Rattus norvegicus: one gene and its partners. The protein of the gene in region 3 purifies or fractionates together with the protein of the main gene of each other region. This does not show direct contact. Links are inferred from orthologs where the notes say so. Each region holds a gene or a part of one and is shown on either strand. Other genes may lie near its edges.

Region 1 (5,089 bases), on a different chromosome or scaffold from region 3:
AAAACAAAAAAAAAACATATAACATATATAACATACAACATATATATAACATAAACATTATATATATATACATACACACACACACACACACACACACATATATATATATGTATATATATATATATATAAAATCATTTCATTGGGAATACAAAGTGAAGGATTTTTATTATGAAAAAGTCTCTGCCCAGTCTACTTAAAATGTGGTCTATGAAGCCAGGCAGTGTTGGCACATGCCTTTAATCTCAGCACTTGGGAGGCAGAGGCAGAGGCAGAGGCAGGTGGATTTCTGTGAGTTTGAAGCCAGCCTGGTCTACAGACCTAGTTATAGGACATCCAGGGCTACACAAAGAAACCCTGTCTCAAAGAACCAAAAGAGAAATACAGAATCTTGAACCCTGCCATTTCATTGAATCATAAACCACATTTTAACAAAAAGCTCAGATTTCTTTTGATATAGGGTCTCCTGTAGAATCGGCTGGAGGTGTAGCTGAGAACGACCCTGAACTTCTGGCCCACCTGCCTCCTCCTGTGTGCTGGGATTTTTGGCGTGTACCACCAGACAGTTTATGCAGTCTGGGGTTCAAGCCCGGGGTTTTGTGTATGCTAGGCAAGCACTCTATAACCTGAGCTACATCCCCCAACCCGATTCTGAGGATTTTCAGTGCCTAGTGAAGTTAAGTAGCACTGATTGTATACCGTGAGTGAGGAGGTACCACATTAGCAGAGGGGTAGGTCTATAACATAGCTGAAGCCAGGAGTTTCTGAAAAGGTTCTCAACTTTTCAAAAACTAGGTCCTATACAAACTGGATAAAACTTATTTCACTACCTGGAGTTCTCTCAGCATGCGAAATCCCTTCACCTAAAAACATTTTCTGCGGAGTAAATTACCAGGCTTCCTTAAAGGCACAGAAAAGTTAGTGCGGTAAGTACTCTGAGCTGGACCAAGTCAAGCTTTAACCCAGCTAGGTCATATCTGGGGTCGCCCATGTCCTTGGAAGCGCTCAGCAATCAATATGGGTGGGTGGGTGTGGGGTCCTGGAAGGTGAACGCCTTGTACTACTGGCCTGGCTCCTCAGGCCCTGAGATAGGCTCTTAAAAAGTTTTTGGCGGCCATTCCGCCGCGGATCGCTTATTTTTTTTTTTTTTTTTTTTGGTTCTTTTTTTCGGAGCTGGGGACCGAACCCAGGGCCTTGCGCTTCCTAGGTAAGCGCTCTACCACTGAGCTAAATCCCCAGCCCCGGATCGCTTATTTTTAAGGCCTGGAGACGCGGAATTGACTGTTTTGGAGGGCTATGTCGGACATTTCGCTGAGACAGTAGTCCTCCGGAGTAAGCGGCAAACACCTAACCATGGTGACGGCCCTACGTGACCTTCGAACTCTGACCCCGCGCCTCTCTCAGCGCTTCCGCGTGCAGCTTCCGCTCCCGCTCCTCCGGGAAAAGGCGGTCCCAGAGGGCGGGGCTCTGAGGCCGTCAGTTATGGGCGGTGCTTGTTTGAGGCGGGTCTCGCGAGGGCGGGATTTAAAGACGCACTCTCGATTGGGCTGCCGGGCAGGGGCGGGGCCTGCCGAGGCCTGGGTTGGGCGGGGCTGGGAGTTCGTAACCGCCTCTGGGTAACTGGACTCCCGCGATCAAACCTCCGGAGGCCGGGAGAGGCCTGCGGGCTTGCAGCACATCCTGGATCTGGAGTATCCCTGGCAGGAGCGGAGTCAGAGGGGCTGCGGATCCTAAAGCTGGGCTGGGAAGAACTTGCGAACTTGGAATAGAAGATCCCGGAACCCGGTAATAAAATCGGAAAGTCCCGGATCGCGGAACAGAGCTCGCGGAGCGGACTCAACACGGAGACGAGAGGCCGGATCGCTGCACCGCGGGACGGGACAGAGTGATGTCGGGCCGTGGCGCGGGCGGGTTCCCGCTGCCCCCGCTGAGCCCCGGCGGCGGCGCCGTTGCCGCGGCCCTCGGTGCGCCGCCTCCGCCTGCGGGACCCGGAATGCTGCCCAACCCGGCGCTCAGGGGCCCGGGGCCTTCTGGAGGCATGGGGGTACCGGGGGCCGCTGCCTTCCGCCCCATGGGCCCCGCGGGCCCCGCGGCGCAGTACCAGGTGAGGAAGGCAGGCGGGCGGCGCCTCGAGGGCGCTGGGTTGGTCTCCCAGGGGCCTCAGGTGAGGACGGGCCGCCCAGGGGACACTGCAGGAGGAACTGTCGAGGGCTGGTGGCAGGCAGGCCAGAGTCCTTTGGTTAGTGGCTAGGGGTTGGAGGCAATGTTGGGGAAAGGGTGAAAGCCCTTTGCGGTGGAGGACTTAAGCAGTTAGAAGAGTCCCGGGAGTTCTTGGCATTGAGTAACTTAGAGATGGAGGCTTCGTGGGATTTAGAGAATTGTGGGCAATCAGGTTGAAAAGTGTAAGGCAGGTCCCGGAGTAGAGGTGAGGGAGTGACCCGGGATGTGGTGAGGAAATTTTGGAAGAGGGTCGTTAGTGAGAAAACAGGGCTACTCTTTCTTTGGAGTCGGTCCCACTGCATCTCTGCCTTGGCTGTTTTGTTTTTTGTTTTTTTTCCTAGTTGGGAACTGGCAGAGAGTTAGTATATCTGTGATGGCTCCCAGCTGCTCAAGTTGAAGCCTGGCTTCCTACGAAATGGGAGACCAAAGGGAGGGAGCCCAGATACTCCCAGGATAGATTAGAGATAGCGATGGCCAGGTCTGAAGAAAGCCCGATCGCATTAACAGACCCATCTAGATATCCTCTGTACTGGGCATTCTTCCTGATGTCAGTGTCCAGTAGTTAAGTTTGGAGGAGCAGGGAGGCTTTGTGGAGTCCTGCTGGTCTTGGGTTGCATAGGGTACTTCAAGACCCTTCTGTCTGGGAAGAGAGCAGTCTCAGGTTGCTGCGTCAAAGGTCGTTGACAAGCAGAGACAAGATCCTGTGGTCAGTGCACTGGGAACTCACCCAGCGGGACTCTGTATGTGGGGCTCCTCCTCATACCCCAGGGCTCTGGTTCAAGTTGCTCCGGGATATTTGGGAGTTTCATTTTGCTTTTCCTTTCGGTGCTGAGCCTGCACCGGGTGGAACCCCGGGCAGGCTTTGCACGAGGCAGATCATTGCTATCAGTGAACTGCACCTTTCCCAGAGTGCCTGGGACTGTGTCCATCCTTTCCCACATCCTTGTCACTTTTGGTCCTTGCTTTTTGATACAGGGTCCCATATAGTCTAGGCTGTGTAGCCAAAGCTGGCCTTGAACTCTTTCTGCCTCTCAAGTGCTGGGACTGCAGTCACGAAGGTCCGAAGGTGTAGCTTACTCTGTCCTCTGCTGGTGTCTCAGGTAGACGTCTCAGAAATAGATCTTCATGGAGCATGCATATTATACCCAGGAGTCAGATTCCTGAGGAGATACCTAACTGAGGGTTGGGATAAGTGACCCACTTCGCTTCTCTTTCTATCTCAAAAGAAAATGACGAGTTTGGGTATGAACAGGGATAGACTTGGTCCCAAGGATACTCTCTGGGGTTTATCTTTCCCATGTTGCTTTCTTTGGAGATTAATGGACCTTGTGTCTCACCGATGAGTACTGACATCAGTTATTCCAGCCCTTGGTCTTGCTTGCTTAGAACTGATCTGGTAGCTTCCTACAGACACTGGGGATATCTGGTTTGGTTAGTTTTCTGAGCCCTGGCTGTCCTGCAACTAATTATGTAGACCAGTCCCCTTGGCATGCAGCTGACAGAGAAGTACCCTTGGGAAAGTTCCTGTGAAGACGGGAAGATGGATTCCTGCATGCTTTGTAGAGAGTGACCTTGGGCCTATGCTGAGGCCAGGCTGGCCAGCTGGATAGCTGTGGCTACTAGTTGTGAGAAAGGAGATGGCCTTGAGTCTGGCATCTTGTTACCTCTTCCTCCTCCTCTTTGTCTTCCTCCCCTCCTCCTCTTCCTCCTCTGAAGGACAGGGAAAGGAGGAAGGAGAACCCCATTAACATGGGTTGAGTTTGAAGGAGACCCTGCTTGCTTTTTCCCATCCCTTCCAGGTGTCCATCTTCCAGAAAGGCTTGGGGTCTGAGGACAAAGGGGCTCCTCCTGGTTAGAGCTCTTGGGGGTGAGCAGGAAGGGCAAGGATGTGTGTGCTCAGGCTGGGCATGGGAAGGCTGCTGACATAAATTGATAGCTCATTTACCTCTAGAGGGTTTTTCTAGTTTTGGAGAACAATCAGCCTGAAGGGTTTAAAGTACCACGATCAAAACCAAAACAGAAAGCCTAGTGTGCATTATTGCCGGCTTCACTCAGCTCAGAGTTTAAAGTACCCTCTGTTCATAGGGCCAGGGTCTGGCCTCCAAATGAGGCTCTGAGGTTCAAGCAGCTCTTAGCAGGATCCCGGCTACAGACTTTTCTGGAGAGCAGAACATGCTTACTTGAGCCCTAGATTCTTAGCCCAGAGCTGGCAGGATGAGGTCTAGCCTACTTCCCTTATCTTCTTGGTGGTTATAAAATTTAGCCTAGAGGGTGGGCTTGGTGCTTGACCAAGTGGAAGTTACTGCATTCCGGAGTCCTGGGGACTTAAGCAGGCCTCGTACTCTGTGGTGGGGCAGGCTGGCCGAGAGGCTGAGACTCTGTTTCAGTGACTTTGTTTTGTTTTTAAGTCGGAGTTACTCAGCTCTTCAAAGCCCAGGTGTAGAGCTCGACAAGAAGAAACTAGGACTTGAATTGTGAGCAGCCTTCCCCTGAGGCTGCGGGTGAGCCAGGGGACTGAAGCCCAAGCCCCAGAAGTGGGGAACAGATGTCTGGGTGGGGCCTATTCCAGGCCTGCCTGGGCTGCCTTGCGGGGGGATTTCCTGGAGGGCTCAGCAGTGCTATAGGCTTTATGAACCTTGGTGGAGAGCTTTTGGGGGACCAGAGCGCCTCAGATATATCTGCAGTAACTCTAGGGAACCCTCAAGTCTGGGTGATGATGGGGTCTTAGAGCTTCGGCCACCTGAGGCTTTTCTTTTGTCCCCTCCCCCCTTCTATAATCTCTGGCTCTGGCTTATTAGAGCAGAGAAACAGGCTGTCTTCTGCCTTTCAACAGCTTTGATGAATTTCTTCCTGATGAGGAGAGACTTGTGGC
Region 2 (4,929 bases), on a different chromosome or scaffold from region 3:
CTGGTCTTTTTTTTTTTTTTTAAAGAAAACTCGACATTTATTTTGGCTATGTATGGTATGTCAGGTGTGTGGAGGTCAGAGAGCTGTCAGGAGTAGGTTCCCTCTTCTATGATGTGGGGTCATCTATTGAGTTTAGGTCATCAGGCTTTGTGGCAAGTCCCTTGTTCACCGAGATATCTTGACAGCATTCATTTTCTTTAAGTAAACCTTTAGCTGAACTATAATACACACAAGAAAAATTACAAGTAATAAATGTCCATCTTGACAGACTAAAGACAAGTGTGACAAGCTCCCGGAAAACACCATGAATGTACTTGTGTTCTGAACTTAGATGTAGAATTATCTAATGCATGTTGTCACATCTGGCTTCTTTTGTTGCAGACCCATCCCCACCATTGCACATAGCAGGACTTTGGTTTTTCTGGTTGTTTTGTCTGTGCTCATGGTATAAACAGGTTGTAACTGGTTTTCCATTCCATTCTGTTGAGTGGCTCCCAGGTTGGTGCTATTATGAAGAGTACCGAACTTCCCAGTATACATATCTTGGTGTTCATACAGACACATTTCGTCCTAGTGAGGTTTCTATTGCTGTGATAAACACCGCATCTATTTCAGCTTGCAGTTATAGTCTGTTATGAAGTCAGGGCAGGAACTTAAAGCAGGAACTGAAGGAGGCCAGAACTGAAGCAAAACCTTGGACGAACTTTGCTTACTCACTTGCTCCCCAAGGCTTGTTCAGTCTGCTTTCTTAAAGTGCCCGGAGGTGGCACTGCCTACAGTGGTCTGGCTCTCCCACAACAACTATTATCAAGAAAATGCCCGGGGTTGGGGATTTAGCTCAGTGGTAGAGCGCTTGCCTAGCGAGCGCAAGGCCCTGGGTTCAGTCCCCAGCTCCGAAAAAAAGAAAAAAAAGAAAAAAAAAAAAAAAAAAAAGAAAATGCCCCATAGACTTACCTGCAGGGCAACATGATGGAGGCGTTTTCTCCATCAAGGTTCCCTCATTCCAGATAACCCTAGCTTGTGACGAGTTGACAAAAAAGAGGCAGCACATATTCCTTCTGTTGAGTGTTGCTAGTTTGGGAGTGGAAACTGTTGGAAGACGGGGTTGGCATAAGTTTTTCAATGGAAGACTGCCAGTTTTCCAAACTATCTCTACCAATTACACACCCTGATTCAAGGAATGGCAAGTTGCTCCTCTGCTACTTCATCTACATGGTCTTTTTCACTCCCGCCATTCTGATTGAGGAGGCCGGCTCTCCACTCGCAGAGTCTGGCTTGTACTAGGCGCTGTTAATGGAACTGTTCAATGAATGAATGAATGAATGAATGAATGTATGAATGAATGAATGAATGAATGAATGAATGAATGAATGAATGAACAAGTTAAGTTGGGCAGCTTAGAATCAAACAGCCTGGAGAGGGCAGACGCGCGCACACAGAGCATTTCAGGGACGCCCACCCGCCGCGGACGCACACCAGGACAGTCCCTCTCGCGCACCCCTGTGCCCACGTGGCCGGAACGCACCGCCTCGTTCGGGCCGCGCGCGTCCAGCCGCACCGCTGCCCCCCAGCTCTCCCTCTCCGCGGCGGGCAGAGGGCGCTGTGCGTCCGTGCGCCCCGAGGGGCGGGCCCGGGCCGGGGCGGAGCTGGCCGGGCTTCCAGGCCGGGGCTCTAGCCGCCCGCGCCGCCCGGGCCGCTCCGGGGACGGGCCGGGGCGGGGCGCGGTCTCAGGAAGCCAGGCGGGGACGCGCGGAGGCGTTGGGGAGCGAGGGAGGGCGCGGCCAACTCCCGGAGGGACGGCAGGCCGAAAGAGCGGCGCCGGGGCCTGGCGCGCAGCCTGAGATCGCCGGACCGCAGGCCGCCCCACCACGGGCTCTGTCCCGGCCCTAGCCCCGCCAGCATGGCCGGCCGGACCGTGCGGGCCGAGACCCGGAGCCGGGCCAAAGATGACATCAAAAAGGTGATGGCGACCATCGAGAAGGTCCGGAGATGGTGAGCGCTGCCCCCGGGTCAGGGATACAGCCAAGCCACCTCCTCCAAACGCGTCCGCCCTTTCCTGGCCCGCTGCCCCCGCCCACCAGCTGTGATCTAAATCGACAGGGCGCCCCCTTTCCTTGGCAATTCCCAGAGGTCTACAAAGCGTGGTCCGGAGTGGTGCTTTCCCTGAGCGGGAGCCCTCATCTATGCCCCGCCCCCTGAAGCTTTTGACACTCTCGCAAGCTTGGCCCGGGGTCTTCATTGCCTGAGTGCCTGGGCAGGCCTTGGTGGCGCCCTGCTGAGTGCCCCAGGTGTCTGCAAAACCGCAGCTCCAAGTTATATCCGTTTATGCTTTGCCCTGGGGTTTAGAGGGCTCTTTCTGCTTCTATGCCGTGTAAACGAAGCTGTCCGTACCCTAGCACACCTCCCTGACCTCCAGTCTGTGGGGCTCACCCTTGGGCCTCCCTGACCCAGTCTCCTGACCTCCCACAGGGAGAAGCGCTGGGTGACTGTGGGTGACACTTCCCTTCGAATCTTCAAGTGGGTGCCTGTGGTGGATCCCCAGGAGGAGGTGAGCAAGCCCAACCCCCAACATGCCTTGCATCTGTGCAACCTCAAGCAATTTCCCTCCCCTTGGCCTCCACCTTCAGTCGGCTTGGAGACTCCACTGTGGAGCCCAGGCAGATGGTAACGATTATTAGGGGGCATGAGCACGGAAGCGCGCGCGCGCGCGCGCGCGCACACACAAACACACACACACACACACACACACTTTCTCCAAGTTCAAGACCTAACTCGGCCTACACAACCTGAGGCAGCACCTTTTGCTTCTCTGAGCCTAGGTTTCCTTATTTGAATTGAAGGACTTTGTAAGAGCTCCCTGGACAAACTAGCTCTGATCTTACTTCTCTAACCCTCAGGAGAGGCGGCGGGCAGGAGGAGGGGCAGAGAGATCTCGTGGCCGGGAGAGGCGTGGTAGGGGCACCAGTCCCAGAGGGGGTGGCCCCCTCATCCTGCTGGATCTCAATGGTATGTAGAGATTCTGGAATAGGGGTGGGGGGGCTGGGTGCTGAAAGAAGCCACTGGGGTCCTCTGGCCAACTAACTTGACTTTTGCTTCAGCAGATGAGAACAGCAATCAGAGTTTCCATTCCGAAGGTTCACTGCAAAAGGGCACGGAGCCCAGCCCTGGGGGGACGCCCCAGCCCAGTCGCCCTGGATCACCAACTGGACCTCCAGAGGTGATTACAGAAGATACTCAGCCCCCACAACTGGGCCAAGAGAGAGGTAGGACCATGTGGCTCTTGGGAGTCCTCTCCTCACCAGAGTTGAACCTACCGCCTTGTATGTGTTTCTATATTGTGTTGTGTCCCCCCCCCCCTCCCCCGTCCTGCCTCCCTCAGGGAACCTTTCCTGACCCTGGCAGAAATTACCTCTGGCTGTGCCTGGCTCATTCCTTGGCATCTTGGATTTGTAGGGAGCGTGTCGCCATCTGAAAACTTTATGTAAATGTACTTTTTGCTTGCTTATTGCCTCTCTGTTACCATCTCATGTCAGACACACTGATCTGGTTCATGTGGGACGCATAATAGATGTTCGGCAACTAAATAATTCTGATAACCCTAGGGATTAGTAACCGTAGATTAACAGCTGACAGAACCACTTATCTGTTAGTCATTCTTCTGAGCACTTCAATGTTTTGTGGTTTGTTTTCTCATTTAACCCTCACTGACATTTTATGGAACCAATGATCCTATGATGATTCCTATTTATACACGAGGAGCCCAACATCCAGAGAAAGATGCCCAGACTTGCAGAGCCAGTGCGCCAGCTCCTCGGCCTTCCTGTAGTCCACCCCCCCTTCCCAGGCATGGCTGACTCCCGTGCCTTTGGCGCTCCCTTCTCACTTCTCACTTGCACTGGCTCTCGCCTCCACATGCTACAGCTTTCTTAGAGCAGATTCCAATCGGCCATTTTCCTGCTTTGTGTCCTTCGTTGGCTCCCGTGGCCTTTGATTCCTTCGTTTGAACCAGAGGCCTTTATAAACTGTTGCTACTGAAATTGTTCCCCTGTCAAGAACACCATGACATGGGGCTTGGGACCACACCTAGGTTGTCCCAAATACTTTCGCTAATATGAAATGATGGGGCAGGGCATGCAGCCCAGTGCAGGTGCTTGTCTGTCATGCCTAAGGTCCTAAGCCCCATCTCTAGTACCACAGAAATGAATGAATGAATGAAACTGCTAGCTGGCACTTCTTGAGCACATACTATGTGCCGTGTACTTGATCCACACAGCAGCCTCTCATGGTGTTACTGTCACTATTTCCATTCTGCGGATGACTGAGAGTCTGTGGTCACTAAGCACATATTTCTATCTGCCTAAATTCTACTCTACCTCCGTTTGCCTCCTGGCTCATTCCCTACTGACAAGATCCAACTTGAGTCTTCCTTCCTCAGCAACTTGGTACCCCTCTGCCCCCACAATGTCATCATGTGTGACCAGTGCCTGTCTGTTTCCTTTGCCCCTGGTCCACTCTCTCAGCACAGAGTAGCTGCTCAGGAAGTGTCTCTTTGTTTGGTGTTACAGATCCAGGGGGCACACCTGCAGGAGGTACTGATGAACCCCCAAAGCTGACCAAGGAGGAGCCTGTTCCAGAATTGCTAGAAGCCGAGGTGAGAGAGGCCAGAGTCCGGACTCTGGCCTTGTGGGGACTGGAGGCTTTGGGGAAGCAGGGAGACTTCATTCTAGGCTCCAGGAGGGAGACGTGGACCTAGAGCCCACAGAAGGCTTAGCTGGAGGTTGGATTCTTGGGTGAAGGAGAGGATTGCAGACACCACCCTGAGGGCTGATCATGGCTGATAGAAGAGCACTAGAAGCCTGAAATGATCTTGGTGCTCCCCTAAGGACTTAAAAAAAAAAAAAAAAAAAAAAAAAAAAAAACCTAGGCTCA
Region 3 (5,197 bases):
ACACAGCAAAGGTACCACTCTTGGGGATGGAAACCTGAGGGGGCTTCTCCCCTCCTTGAACAGATGACTCCAGAGGGAGCCAGATATTCCCGGGGAAAGCACCCAGGGAAAGCAAAGGAAAACAAAACAAAATGTATAAAAAGGACCGAAAAGAGGCAGCCATGTGTCACTACTGTGGGTCACCTTTACACCTTAGAAGACAGAAGGGAGAAAGTTATACAACTTAAAATATAAAGAAAAATGTTGGCACGTCTCTATTTTAAAGCTCTAAAGTAACTGACGACAAAACAAATATTCCAGAAACAAGTCAGAAATATCCTAAACCCAGCCCTTAGGAGAAAATCTCTCCCTAGACCACAAGGCCATCAGCATCTCCTTCAATTGAGCTGTTCTCCCAAAGTTCAATTAACAAAAGGAAACGTTCACAAGATTCAACATGTAAACAAAGAGACAAGCCTTGCAGGACTCTTGAACCCACTATGAAATTGTCAGAAGGCTCCCAGCTCTCAGCAAAATATTAACAAAACCATCTTCTCCCCCTACAGATCTCACATTTGCCTTTTAATTTAAAAAAAAAAAAGCCAGTAAAATAATTTCAGTTCTGTAGCTGAACACAGTGTCAAAAACTACTCGAGACAAATGTATCTTCAGAGCTATCAAAGAACTCATTTATACCATCAGGAAAGTCACAAAACGAAAACAAACAGCAAACCCATTGTAGAGGAAAAACTCAGCTACTGTTCCAGCAACACAGAATCTATTTCAGACTGCATAAAACATAACAAGCAAAATAAATCCAAGGTGCAAGCAAAATGCCATCGCCTCCTCTTTTGTTTCAGGCACAATGTAACAAGGGCAGCCTGTCTGGGACTCTGCTCCTGCTGATACAGTATTGCTGCTTAAACCTCCCTCCTCAAGGTCACAGCCAATTTCAGCTCTGGAATAAAAGGCGGATAGTGGTGGCATCGATGGTTTGGGTTATCACTGGCAGAAAAGCAGAGTGTAAAAGTTTATGAGCTCATCAGGATTGTTGTACCATTACATCAGAGGCAATTATAAATGGCCAAGAGCAGAAGATGGGGAGCCAATCAGATCACAGATAGGATGTCAACCTAAGACCAACTGTCTCCTGGCTTTGACAGAAGGATTTTACCTCCATAATTCAAATCCCAAACCAAAGCAATCTGCACTTACTACTCCAATCACTCAGCTGTTTACCAGCACTTCCAGAGAGAAGCCCAGGCCACTGGGCCGGCGGAGACTAAGGAAAGAGGTGGCCCGGGCGGCCCAGAGCGAACCACAGTCGGCCTCAAGCTGCCCCCAAGCAGGCCCCAGCTCTCCCCCGAGGTCCCCCGAGCCCTAGGGGCCACTCTTTAAAAGCATATATTGGGGAACTGCCTAGAGGAAGGCAAGGGGGACAGAGGAACGGCAGGTGAGCAAGAAAATGTTGCTTCTTTCTCCCGGGTTCCTGACACTGCCTACACCCCTAACCTGAACCCCCAGCACCCCCTCACTCGGGCCTGGCCCTTCCAGGCACACTTTGCTCTGCACCCCCCTGGAGACCCCCAGAGTTCGAAAGGACCAGCGGAGGAGGAGAAACCGGACAGACACCTCTGGAAAAGCCCCACACAAAGGCTGATCGAGGGAAGGAGAGGAAGGCAGACAGGCAGCCATTTTAAGAGAGAAGAGCCAGACAATGGCAGCTCCCCGGCAGTGGGGGCCCAAGCCTGAGGGGAGCCCACGGCCGGGGCCTGCTCCCCACAGCCGCCACCCACCCCCCTGCCCCGCTCGCCCCAGCCCCCTCCCCACTCAGCTGTGTACCTGAGGGGTCCGGGCGAGCGGCTGCCCCCCGCCGCCGCTGCTCCCGGGGCTCATGGGCGCGTGGTGGCTCCTTTGTTGGGCCCCTCCCGAGGCGGCCGCTGCCGCCGCCGCCGCAGCAGCAGCCCCCCAGCACTGCGAGGCCATGTCCGCCGGGCCCTTGCCCGCGCCCCCGTCCTGGGGCCCGCCGCCGTAGTCGCCCCCGGGGTAGCCCTGGTAGCCCCGGGCCGAGCTGGGCGACGTGAGCAGTTGGTTGAGGGTGGGGGTGGCGGTGGGCTGGGGAGTTCCCCCGCCGGCCGCTGAGGGGCCGCCTCCCCCCATGGCCCCGAAGCGCTGCGGAGCGAAGGACGAAGACGACGAGGAGGCAGAGGCGCTGGAGGAGGGAGGCGGCTTGGAGCCCGCGGCCGCCGCGCCGGAGCCCGGAGTGCCACCTCTCGGGGAGCTCAGCGCGTAGGCCTGGGGAGGCGGGGGGTAGGCGCTGCGGTTGGGGTAGTAGGAGTTGTACTGGTGGTTGGGGAAGCCGTGGTCGTGCGAGTTCTGCTGGGGCCCGGCGTAGGGCTCCAGGCCCCCGCCACCGCCGCTCTGCAGCGCTGCCAGGCCAGGGCTTTGTTGTCCGCCATGTTGTTGGTGGAAGACGGCGGCCGCCGCGGCGGCGACGGCAGACGGGCTCCGGCCGTAGGGTTGCCCGAAGCCGTAGGCTGGGGGCGGCAGGGCGGCCGCGGCTGAGTGAGGAGGCGCCCCCACCCCGTCGCTGCTGCCGCCGCCGCCGCCGGGCGGCTCCGTGAGGTTATTGTTCAGGGCGGGCCTAGGGCCCGCGTTCCCGTTCGAGTTCTTCAGGTCCGGCTCCGCGCCGGGCCCGCCGCCGCTGCCGGCTCCGCCGCCGCCGCCACCCCCATTGCTCTCGGCCCCGTCCTGCAGCTCCTTTCCCAGCGGCTGCGGCGGCCCCACAGCGGGGCCCTCGCTTTCCTGCCCGGCGGCTGCCTTCATTTCCCCGCGCTCGGCCGCTGCCGCCGCCGCCTCGCCCCCCGCCTCCTCCCGCTGTTGCTGCTCGGCTTTCTTCAGCTCCGAGGGCGGCGGCGGCGGGTTGCCCAGGCTGCTGGCGGCGGCGGGGGCGACCTGCGCGGCCATGATCCCCGCTGTCTCGTCCGCGGAGAGACCCGGCCCTGTCTTCGTCTTCTCCCCCCTCCCACCCCGCCCCGGGGCCGAGTCCCCCGGGCTGCCCTCCCCACCCGCCCGGGCGGGCCTCGCGGGGCTCCGCTGCTGCGCTGCGCTCGCTCCTCTCCCCCCCGCCCCGCCGGCTCAGGCTCCGGGCTGGCGGCGGAGGAGGAGGAGGAGGCGGCGGCGGCAGCCGAGGCGCCGGCGGCTCAGCTGCTCCCGGCTCTGTCGGCTCGGGACCCGGCTCTCCCGGCTCATTCCCCCCAAGCCCTTGCCTGGGAATGAGGGGGGCGGTGGAGGCTCCGCTCCCCAGGGCCTGGCCCCGCTGTGACTCTCCGCTTTCTGCTGCCGGAGAAAGGAGGAGGGAGGGAGGGAGGGAGGCGAGGGGGAGGGGGCGGGAAAGGAGGGAGGGAGCGGGGGGGAGGGGGGACCCGGGACGGGCGGGCTGGAGGGCGCGCGGCGGCGGACGGGGCGCCGGGAGGCAGAGTAGGAGCGCTGCTCCGGCGGGCGCCCTGCCTCGCCTCCCCGGCCGCGGCTCGGGCCGAGGCTGCTGCGCGGCGGCGGCAGGCGAGCGAACGAGCGGGCGGGCGGGCGGGCGGGCGGGCGGCGGGACTGAGCAGCTAGAGCGCCCCACTCTCCTCCGAGTCCCCCTCACTCCGACACGAGGCTCAGCACTGCCATTTTACCCAGCGCCGTCGCGGCCGCCTGAAAAACCCGGAGTGGAGCGCGGAGCGGGCGCAGGCCGTGGAATGGACTCGCTCCCTTCCCCTCACAAAGGAGGAGGGGAGAGAACGAGCCGCGGCGGCGGCAAGCCCTCAGCCTCTTTCGCTCGGCAGCGCCGCCGCCGAAGGCTTCGGGGAAAACCCGGCCCGGAGCCCGCGCCTCCGGAGCCTGCGCCGCCTCTCTCGCGGCGTTCCCATCCTGGCCTGTCCCCTCCTGGCCGATCTGAAGGGAGCGGGCCGCGTGAACTTTACCCGCGCCTGCAAAATTGGCCTGAGCCCGAAACCGCGGCCGCAGCGGCCGGGACCTGACCCCCTGGCACAGGGCCTGGTCTCTTGGCTGCGACTTAGCACCTCCGCAGCACTTTTCTTCTTCAAAGCCTTTTGCAGACCTGCTCTTGAGACCCAGCTGAGTGAGCCCTGCTTTTTGCCCCCTTTGGCTAGCCCCAAAGGAGGACTGACCATTGTTCAAACTATCGGTTCTCCATGCCCTGCCCTCATTAGCCCTCCCTGACAAGGCCTTGGGGGCATGAGGTCTGGATTATCCCCCATTTTACCAACAGACAGAAGAGAGAGAGGACTGCCCAGGTCACTTAAAGTCAGAGGGCAGAAGAGTGTAGCTATAAAAAGTGGAGTCGCCAAAGCTGCATCTTGTCTACTTAGCCTGAGAAAAGGAGGAAAGGAGAAAAGAGAGGCACTTACGTTGTGAACAAATCCAACAACAGGATCAGTGTCAGGAGGTTTGAAATCGAACGTGGTCATCCCACCACTTCTCTTAAAATGGTGGCTACTGATGCTTTGGGGGCTTAAGACAGTCCTCCAGGCAAACCAAGCTCCATTAGCACTTCCTAAGGGAACCTAGCTCACAATGGCCAGTAGCCCCAATCTCCAAAAGTACCTTGAAGATGTAAACAAGCCCACAGAAAAGGCTCCAGGGACTGGAAGAACCTCAGTGTTCAAAAACCACTGCAAAAGAGGGATGCAGAAAATGGAAACCATTTCCTCTTTAAAGAGAGAAAAAGCAGAGCCTAATAGGTCACACAAAACGGATGCCCCTCAGATCTGCTGTCTCTCCTAAGGTGTAAGACTCCTTGAAGTTTACCAGAGACCCTAAGGCCAGGTTTATCTGAGAAGATCAAGGCATTCACGGAAAAGCTCAGTTACCCAGATCTACAGGCCTTGCCAAACCCCACAGCAGCCTTTTCTTCTGTCAGGCTTGGAATGCTTTCACAGGGCAAGCTAGGAAAAACCAGAGGGAATTCCAGCTTCTCACCAGGACCAAGACTGCCTTGGAAAAGCATCAATGACAAAGGCCTCTTTTCCTCCCAGATTTTATAAATGGAGATTTCGGGCCACAGATCATTATTTTAGAACTTGTGGGTTCTGCAGGCCCCTGGAGTTCTGACCATGTCATGGGTCAACATAAATAATTCTGAAAGGCTAAGTCATTTCTACTACCCCCAAGACATCCCATACTACAAACCCTCGTAGTAAACTGCGAATGG

What was found.
Region 1: the proteins of Arid1a (region 3) and Smarcd2 purify together in Homo sapiens (affinity purification with mass spectrometry; 7 studies listed by BioGRID and IntAct, with this or other methods). This does not show direct contact. The link is inferred for Rattus norvegicus from reciprocal best matches to the Homo sapiens genes ARID1A and SMARCD2.
Region 2: the proteins of Arid1a (region 3) and Bcl7c purify together in Homo sapiens (affinity purification with mass spectrometry; 5 studies listed by BioGRID and IntAct, counting the BioPlex papers as one, with this or other methods). This does not show direct contact. The link is inferred for Rattus norvegicus from reciprocal best matches to the Homo sapiens genes ARID1A and BCL7C.

The regions. Positions count from the first base shown.
Region 1 is NC_086028.1:91,699,120-91,704,208, reverse strand, and holds the start of Smarcd2 (SWI/SNF-related matrix-associated actin-dependent regulator of chromatin subfamily D member 2), read left to right. Parts: upstream 1-1,800; 5' UTR 1,801-1,885; coding exon 1,886-2,101; intron 2,102-5,089. UniProt on the Homo sapiens protein: Involved in transcriptional activation and repression of select genes by chromatin remodeling (alteration of DNA-nucleosome topology).
Region 2 is NC_086019.1:191,751,353-191,756,281, reverse strand, and holds the start of Bcl7c (B-cell CLL/lymphoma 7 protein family member C), read left to right. Parts: upstream 1-1,640; 5' UTR 1,641-1,900; coding exon 1,901-1,992; intron 1,993-2,469; coding exon 2,470-2,548; intron 2,549-2,897; coding exon 2,898-3,006; intron 3,007-3,098; coding exon of another isoform or gene 3,099-3,101; coding exon 3,102-3,263; intron 3,264-4,565; coding exon 4,566-4,651; intron 4,652-4,929. UniProt on the Homo sapiens protein: May play an anti-apoptotic role.
Region 3 is NC_086023.1:151,262,067-151,267,263, forward strand, and holds the start of Arid1a (AT-rich interactive domain-containing protein 1A), read right to left. Parts: upstream 3,321-5,197; 5' UTR 2,947-3,320; coding exon 1,822-2,946; intron 1-1,821. UniProt on the Homo sapiens protein: Involved in transcriptional activation and repression of select genes by chromatin remodeling (alteration of DNA-nucleosome topology).